Linked DNA regions of Ovis aries. The protein of the gene in region 2 purifies or fractionates together with the protein of the main gene of each other region. This does not show direct contact. Links are inferred from orthologs where the notes say so. Each region holds a gene or a part of one and is shown on either strand. Other genes may lie near its edges.

Evidence for each region. Proteins that work in one complex are often made in the same cells at the same time.
Region 1: the proteins of ITGA2 (region 2) and ITGB1 purify together in Homo sapiens (co-immunoprecipitation; 3 studies listed by BioGRID and IntAct, with this or other methods). This does not show direct contact. The link is inferred for Ovis aries from reciprocal best matches to the Homo sapiens genes ITGA2 and ITGB1.

What each region holds. Positions count from the first base shown.
Region 1 is NC_056066.1:19,329,642-19,333,292, forward strand, and holds part of ITGB1 (integrin beta-1), read left to right. Parts: intron 1-42; coding exon 43-265; intron 266-924; coding exon 925-1,157; intron 1,158-2,944; coding exon 2,945-3,111; intron 3,112-3,651.
Region 2 is NC_056069.1:26,266,219-26,270,479, reverse strand, and holds the start of ITGA2 (integrin alpha-2), read left to right. Parts: upstream 1-1,430; 5' UTR 1,431-1,531; coding exon 1,532-1,589; intron 1,590-4,261. UniProt on the Homo sapiens protein: Integrin alpha-2/beta-1 is a receptor for laminin, collagen, collagen C-propeptides, fibronectin and E-cadherin. It recognizes the proline-hydroxylated sequence G-F-P-G-E-R in collagen.

The DNA of each region.
Region 1 (3,651 bases), on a different chromosome or scaffold from region 2:
TGTTGTTACCACTGTTGTGAGAAATGAGATTTTTAATTGCAGGAAATGGTGTTTGCAAGTGTCGAGTGTGTGAGTGCAACCCTAACTACACCGGCAGCGCCTGTGACTGTTCTCTGGACACCACGTCCTGCATGGCCGTGAATGGACAGATCTGCAACGGCCGCGGCGTCTGCGAGTGTGGGGCCTGCAAGTGTACAGACCCCAAGTTCCAAGGGCCAACCTGTGAGATGTGTCAGACCTGCCTTGGAGTCTGTGCTGAGCATAAGTAAGTCTTTCTCAGTTGCTTGAAATAGGTGATTGGTCACTGTCTGTTCGCCTGTGTGTGATCGCACGGTACCTAGAACAGTGCCGACACCAGGCCACACTGTAAATAAAGTATCTGTCACCTTGAAGCCCACTTTTTAAATCTAAAAATTCTCAATCGCTAGTGTTGGCACATGATAGTGAATTGTATCCTATGAGTGTGGTGGTACCATTATTTCAACCTGAATTTGGTATTTAATTGAATCCATGTGGTAACCTTTGTTAAATTAGTATTACCAATTGCTATTTACTGCCTTTTGACTAAATAAAATGGAAGGTTTTGTCTAGCAGAAAGAACCATAATATCAGCAACACATTTCAAAAGTTATTTTGGCTTTATATTGTATATTTCATTTCTGATTGGGCTAGTTTTAGCTTACTACTCTTATTTCTTTTGGAGGATTTTAGTTTGAGCTATAATAAATCTATAATTTCACTTAGGAAGCTAGCATCTTTTATGTTTAGTTTTCCCACCAAGAAATGTCATATGTTTCTTCATTTATTCATATCTTCTTTCATCTCTCTTGGCCAAATTTGGTCAAATTTTGAGTCTAGCACACAAAATAATCTTTGAGCAAATATTATTATAAATAATAAATATAATCATTTGCATTTTAACAGAGAATGTGTTCAGTGCCGAGCCTTCAATAAAGGAGAAAAGAAAGACACATGTGCTCAGGAATGTTCACATTTCAACATTACCAAGGTTGAAAATCGGGACAAATTGCCCCAGCCAGGCCAGGTGGATCCCTTGTCCCACTGTAAGGAGAAGGACGTTGACGACTGCTGGTTCTACTTCACATACTCAGTGAATGGGAACAATGAGGCCACTGTTCATGTTGTAGAGACTCCAGGTAGAAATCTGATCATTTCAAAGTTTTTTGCATTTTCTTTTATGTCTTTCTGCTGGTTAGAGCTTTTGGCAGTTCCCCTTGATCCCTGGGTTGGGAAGATCCCCTGGAGAAGGGAAAGGCTACCCACTCCAGTATTCTGGCCTGGAGAATTCCATGGACATTCCATGGAGTTGCAAATAGTCAGACATGACTAAGCGACTTTGACTCACTCACATTTAGGAACAGCTTCCAGCTACTTTACATGACTACTTTGCATTCAAGTTAGGACATTTTAATCTCTTCAAACTTAAAATAGTATTTAATTAACTATAAGAAATAAGGGAAAGAGAAAGCAAATTTTATGTTATGGAGAGTTTGAAGAGTAAATGCAGTAACCCGTATAAAGCCCTTAGCACAGTGCCTGGTAGAAGGTACTCAGTAGCATCATCACTAATAATATTTTTAATAGCAGCTTGATTTAGGCTTGGACGCTGGGAAAGATAATTGTTAAAGGGTATTATATGGCATGAATTTGTTCTGCTTTTCAAGAGAGGAATCATTTTTATCTTTTTTTTTTCTGGGAACTTTTAGTACATTCTTTGGAATTTTCTGCATTTGTGATTAAGTTATTATTGGAATGTAAGTTTTCATTTCTCTAGGATAAATGTTAGGGATTGGGGAGAGGGCATATATTTAACTTCAAAAGAAACAGGCAAACTTTTTTAAAGCCTCTGTTATTATTTTGCATTTTCAGGTATGTGTGTTTCAAATACTGTTTTTTGAAGACCAGAAGCTTAAATTTTACCAAGTTTTTCTTTTGTAGATCTTGCTTCTTACTACCTTAGAACTCTTTGCATAACTCAACTTCATAAGTATTTTTCTCCTGTGTTTTCTTCTGAAAGTTTTAGTTTCTGGATTTGCGTTTAGGTCCATAACGTATTTTGGGCTGCTCTCAGTATCTGGAGTGGAGGTCCAGTTATTTGTAGGTAGATTTCCAGCAGTTCTTGTACCATTGCTTGAAAAGGCTGACTTTTCTCCACTTTGGGTGAAAATAAGATGACCTTATGTGTGTGGGCCTGTTTCTGACTTTTGATTCTGTTCCATTAATTTAGGCATCTGTCCCTTAGCTAATAACACACTCTTTCAATTACTGTTGCTTCACGGCTAGTTTTGTGACATCTGGTAATGTAAATTGTCCAGCTTTGTTTTTTCCTGAAAGTGTTTTTGAGACACTTTCCTAGTTCTCCTACTTCTTTGTAAATTTTAGAATTCGCTTGCTTGATATCCCACACATGTCCTGCCAGGATTTTGATTGGGATAATATTGAGTTTATAGATAAAATTGGGAGAGGATTGTCTAATCAATTGTCTAATTGATGAACATAGATAAAATCTCTCCATTTATTCAGATCTTTTTTAAAAATCAGTGTTCAGTAATTTTTAGCATATAAATCTTGTACATGTTTTATTAGGTTTATACATAAGTATTTTGTGATTTTGGTGCTATTGTAGATAATACTATTTTCTGAGGTTCCGTTTCTAATATATAGAAATCAGTTTTGGTATAATTCATAGAAATACATGATTTTTATTTATTGATCATGTACCTTATGATCTTGTAAACTTATCTGTTACTTCTAGTATCTTTTTTTATAGGTTCTTTTGGATAGTGTGCCCCAAGATACGTCACTTATCTTGGAGTTTCTATTCCTGTGTCTTTTGTGAGACTGCACAGCTCTCTGTGGTTCTGGCTGCACCTTCACAAGCTAACCCCCCTTGTGTGCGTATCCTTTGCTTTTTACTTTACAGAGTGCCCCACTGGCCCAGACATTATTCCGATTGTAGCAGGTGTGGTTGCTGGGATTGTTCTTATTGGCCTTGCATTGCTGCTGATTTGGAAGCTTTTAATGATCATTCATGACAGAAGGGAATTTGCCAAATTTGAAAAGGAAAAAATGAATGCCAAATGGGACACGGTAAGTTGGAAAACATCTAAAATGGAAGGTGTTTCATAAAGTAAATGTAACGCTTCTAAGACTTGTTTATTAGCTCTAAAGCTGATTATTAAAGTCCTTTAAATATTTCAGTTGCCCCCCAGAATTTATTATTCAGGAAACTTGCATTCAGTGAAAAACAGAAAACATCTTAAATACATCCCATTAAAAGAAAATAGTTGTAAGAATGTTTCTTCAGGTTACTGTGGTATTTTTATTTTCTTATTAATTTTAATCTTAACTCTGCTCTTCTGCCTTTTCTTCTTATATAAAATAGAATCCTGGGGACTTCCCTGGTGGTGCAGTAGTTAACACTCACTTCTAACACAAGGGGTGTGGGTTCAATCCCTGGTTGGGGAACTTGGATCCCACATACTTGGCATGACCAAAAAAATTAAAACCCTACATAATTTCAGACTATTCAGTGGAAAGCTGCTGCTTTTTTTTTTTTTTAATTTAACAAAGAACCCTAAGTAGAAATCAGCCACTCAAAAGACTACGTGCTGTGTAATTCAATTTATA
Region 2 (4,261 bases):
TTTTTTTTTTTAGGATTGACTGGTTTGATCTCCCTGGGACTCTCAAGAGTCTTCTCTAGCACCACAATTTCAAAGCATCAACTCTGGTGCTCAGCCTTCTTTATGGTCCAGTGAGCATCCCTACATGACTACCAGAAAAACCACAGCTTTGACCAAGACAGACCTTTGTCGGCAAAGTAATGTCTCTGCTTTTCAATATGCTGTCTCAGTTTGTCATAGCTTTCCTTCCAAGGGGCAAATATCTTTTTGTGCAACCTCATGGACTATTGCCATGAATACTGGAGTGGGTAGCCATTCCCTTCTCTAGGGGGTCTTCCCCACCCACAGATCGAACCTGGGTCTCCTGCACTGCAGGCGGATTCTTTACTGTCTGAGCCACAAGGGAAGCTCCTTCTCATAGTTACCTGCTTTATAAAGGTTTAGAATGGTGCTAATAATAATGATTAGACTAGTAACTCCTTACATTTAGTTTATTAAAATATTTGATTACTGGAAGGATCCTGGCTTCAGCAACGTGCTGGGAATTTGTGGGCAAACTTTCAGAGGAAAATCCAGATTTAAAGAAAATTGATTATCCTATTTCTTAGGTTGGGAAGTAAAAAGCTCAGTAGTTATGGAATGTTCTCTTTCCAGACCTGGGCCTGAAATAATGGAAGAAAATACTCACAATGTAATGCAAACATGAAGCATCACGAGTTCGTACTGGGGCTCTCACTGGTCTTTGTGTCTTTAAGTAAATCCCTTCAAGTTAACAATGAAATCAGCTGCTTATTATCTTGGAGAGGAAGGAATGAGAATTTTAACACACACAACACCCCCTCCCCCCGCCCCCCGGCCCCCACACACACCCCCAGCTCTTGCAGCAGCTCTTGCTTAAATATCACTTCGGGATAATCATAACCTGTGGGCAGACCTTCTTTCCTGTCGGGTTAGTTTCTAACCTGGTCATTCTGCGCTTATTTTTGTCCGTTTCTCCACCCACTTGGGAAAGGCAGGAAGGCAGGCACCGCGCAGCCCCCGAGAACGGTGACTGAGACCCATGGCTTCCTCCCAGCCCTCCTACCCCTGCCAGGAGCCGGAAGGCCTGCACGAGGGCCAGGGTCTCTCCGGGACCCGGGGTCTCCCCCGGGCTTACGTCAGACTGTCGGGGGGCGGGGCAGATGACTGCCTGACTTTCGCCTTCTGCTGTGCAGGCAGGAAGGGCCCCCAGGCACGCGGTCCACATCCCCGCGGCTTCCTGGATCTCGGGGCTGGGATGGTGTGTGGGGGTGTAGGTGAGGCTTCCGGGGGTGTGGAGCAGCCAGGTGTGGCTCGCTGGGCGGAGGGGGTGGGCGGGGTCGGCCGGGGCAGGTCTGCTGTGTGCCGAGGCTAAGGGGCGGGCCTTGGCGCCCCTGGAGCTGCCGGGCAACTTTTCCCGGCTCACGCCCGGGAGCGGGAGAGAAGCCCTCGGGACGGCTTCTGGAGAGTCTCAGTGTCCTTGGATCCCCGCGCAAACCCACAGCAGCTCCAGCGCCAGGGCGACGGGCTCAGGATGCGGCCAGGACGGACAGGCGGCACGCCGCTGCAGCTGGTGTTAATGGTCAGTCAAGGTAAGCGACGTCTTTGCTCCGCATCGGTTGCAGGAGGAACCTGCGTGGGTCCCCGGGTGGGGGCACGAGCCAGGAGTTCTGCGCCAGCGAGACGCAGGCGACTTTCGTCTCGGCTCTGATTCCACGTGGACCCAGGCTTCCAGCCTTCCCCGCGGGACGGAGAGGGACTCCTCATCCCAGCTCCGGCTCGCCCCCGCCTGGTGTCCCCATAAGGCGTGTCTCACCCTGTCTGTAAAGCACCTTTCGAAGTTAACTGGAAGCGCGCTTCGCTCTCAGGCACACACGCAAGCGCACAGAAGCGTGGGGGAGTGGGGATTAGCTGGGCGCCTGCAGTCCGGCTCAGACAGGTGCCCCGCCAGACCCGGACTCCGGGGTTCTGTGCATCCCGACAGCTCGGTCCTGGGAGGTAGCCTGACCCTCAGCGCGATGCCTGGTGGCTTTGCAGGAGCCTGGGAGCCCATTAAGCTTATTTTTCAACCCGGAGCGTGTGACTAATGTCCTCATTTCTCCAGAACGCAGCACTGCTGTGTCTTCCCTTGGGGGACGTAGGAAAACCAAGCGCCTCTTAGATGCTTGGCAGAGGGGAATTCTGCCCTTCTGCCTTCCTCTTATTGTTGTAACGTCGTCTGTTCAACGAATGCAAACTTAGGTCCAGAAAAAGTTTTTTCCACTTTCTCGATCTCTGGCGCTACAACAAAAGAATTACGCGCAGCTGTAGCTCCTAGGGCAAGGCGGTGACAGGCAGGTCCGCCCCTCCCCTGACCCCTTTTTCACTAAGTGGAGAAATGAATCTGGGGGTGCCCAGCTGCGGCGCGACCACAGTCCCTCAAGAGCGCGTTGTCCAAACTTTATCCAGAGCCTCGTGTGTGCTTATTTCAAGAACTTTAGTTTACTTTTGGGGTGGAGTGGGGGAGTCACATTTGTATTTTGTAATTTGAATAGCTAGCAAAAGAAAAAAAAGTGGTCTCATTTTCAAATGTTTATACCTAGAGGATAATCTTTGCTAAACTGCCCTCCTTTGAGGCGCCAGTTGCTGTCCTTGATCCTGAGAGAAATCTAATGCAGAAGAGCCTTGTAGCCTTTGCTCCAGGTTAGAGAAATAGCAGAAATACAGAAAAATAGCAGAGAAAGAGAAATTGTCCTCACCCCAGCAGAGAATAGGCATCAGTTAGTTTTCTTCTCTAATCCTGGGTCTACTACCTCAGATATTCTCTCCTGGGACCCCAAACATGTTCTTATGGGCCATCAACCCTAATCTAGAGGTTTCAGATAAAGTTACTTTCACCTTGAGATTCAGTCCCTGGAGACCACCACTTTCCTAAGAGCTAATGGACCCTTCAGTCCAAGCTTTTCAGCTCTCTTTAAGTGCCCTTTATTAACATAAGCTATGGAAATATAACATTTTCTTATTTTCGAAGTGTTGAGGCTTGTTCATAACAAAGCAGTGAGAAATAACTTTAAAGGAATGTGGTACTGCAAGGCATAAAGTCAGGTTCAGAGTTTTTTTCCCCCCAGAGTTGGTTAACAAGGACAACTCGACACCTTGCTGCAAGCCAGCAGAGGTGATATAAAATGACATCTGTCCAAACAGTTTGTGTAGTTCCTCCTTCCTCCTGCTCCAGGTATTTCTGTACTCAAGGAACAGGTTTTCTCTTAATTCAGGATGATCGTAATAAAGCTTTCTCATTTGTGATCTGAACCCAAGTTCCCAGGAAAACAGCATCGTTTCTCTGATACCATGCATATCCAATATTAAGGTGAATAATTGAAAGCTCTCAGTTTGTGACAGCTACAGTTTTTTATGGCATGACCCTATCTGTATAAAATTTTTGAGCACCCATCATTATTATACATACATATTTGTAGTTGTTTATAGGTTATATCCATGTATAATTGTTCAATATAAATACCAAAAATTAAAATGTAAAAGTCTCATATGTGTGTGTGTATTTATACATCTAGCATACACTCCAGCATATAAGCCAACCACTATAGAAACTTAAAACCATCAAATCTCATTTTAACACTTAGATTCAGATTGGCTGTCTATAAACATTCTCACAGGTATTTAAGAAAAAGCAGTGCTCTTAGTTTGGTCTCATATTTATCACCTTTCATTGATCTTCCTTGATTTAAGTGCTTGCAATCATTGAAGTGGTAACCAGCAGGTTGAGACTGGAAAAGAAAGACCATAAGAGGCCTGGATAATCCATAAACCAAGGTCCATAGAGGAAAGGGAATGTGATTTTTAAATGCATGACGTCACTTACACTCTCTAGTGTGTTGCTTGGCCAAGGATAATCCTTGCCCCTGGATTCTAGGCCTCATCTTCTGCTATCTCTGGTACCCTGCCCAAGTCACCACTGTCTAATGAATATTTTCAAATCCCTAATTTCCCCTCGGGCTGTAAATATTCTAATTTCCCTCTTAGTAAGCAGGCCCTCCATTAGTATGTGATTTGGCCGCTCTTTCCTCCTGAAACACCGTCCATCCCTGGCTTCTGTTCCCCCTGTTTGTCTCCTATTTTCCTGGCTGTCCTTCCTTAGTCTCCTTCACAGGCTTGGCTCTTTGACCCAGTCCTTGCTGGTGTTCACAGAGTTCCATGCTGGATCCTCTTCCTTCTACTGGTTCTCTTTGGGCCTGCTCCCCATTCAAGTCAGCATCTCCAGCCA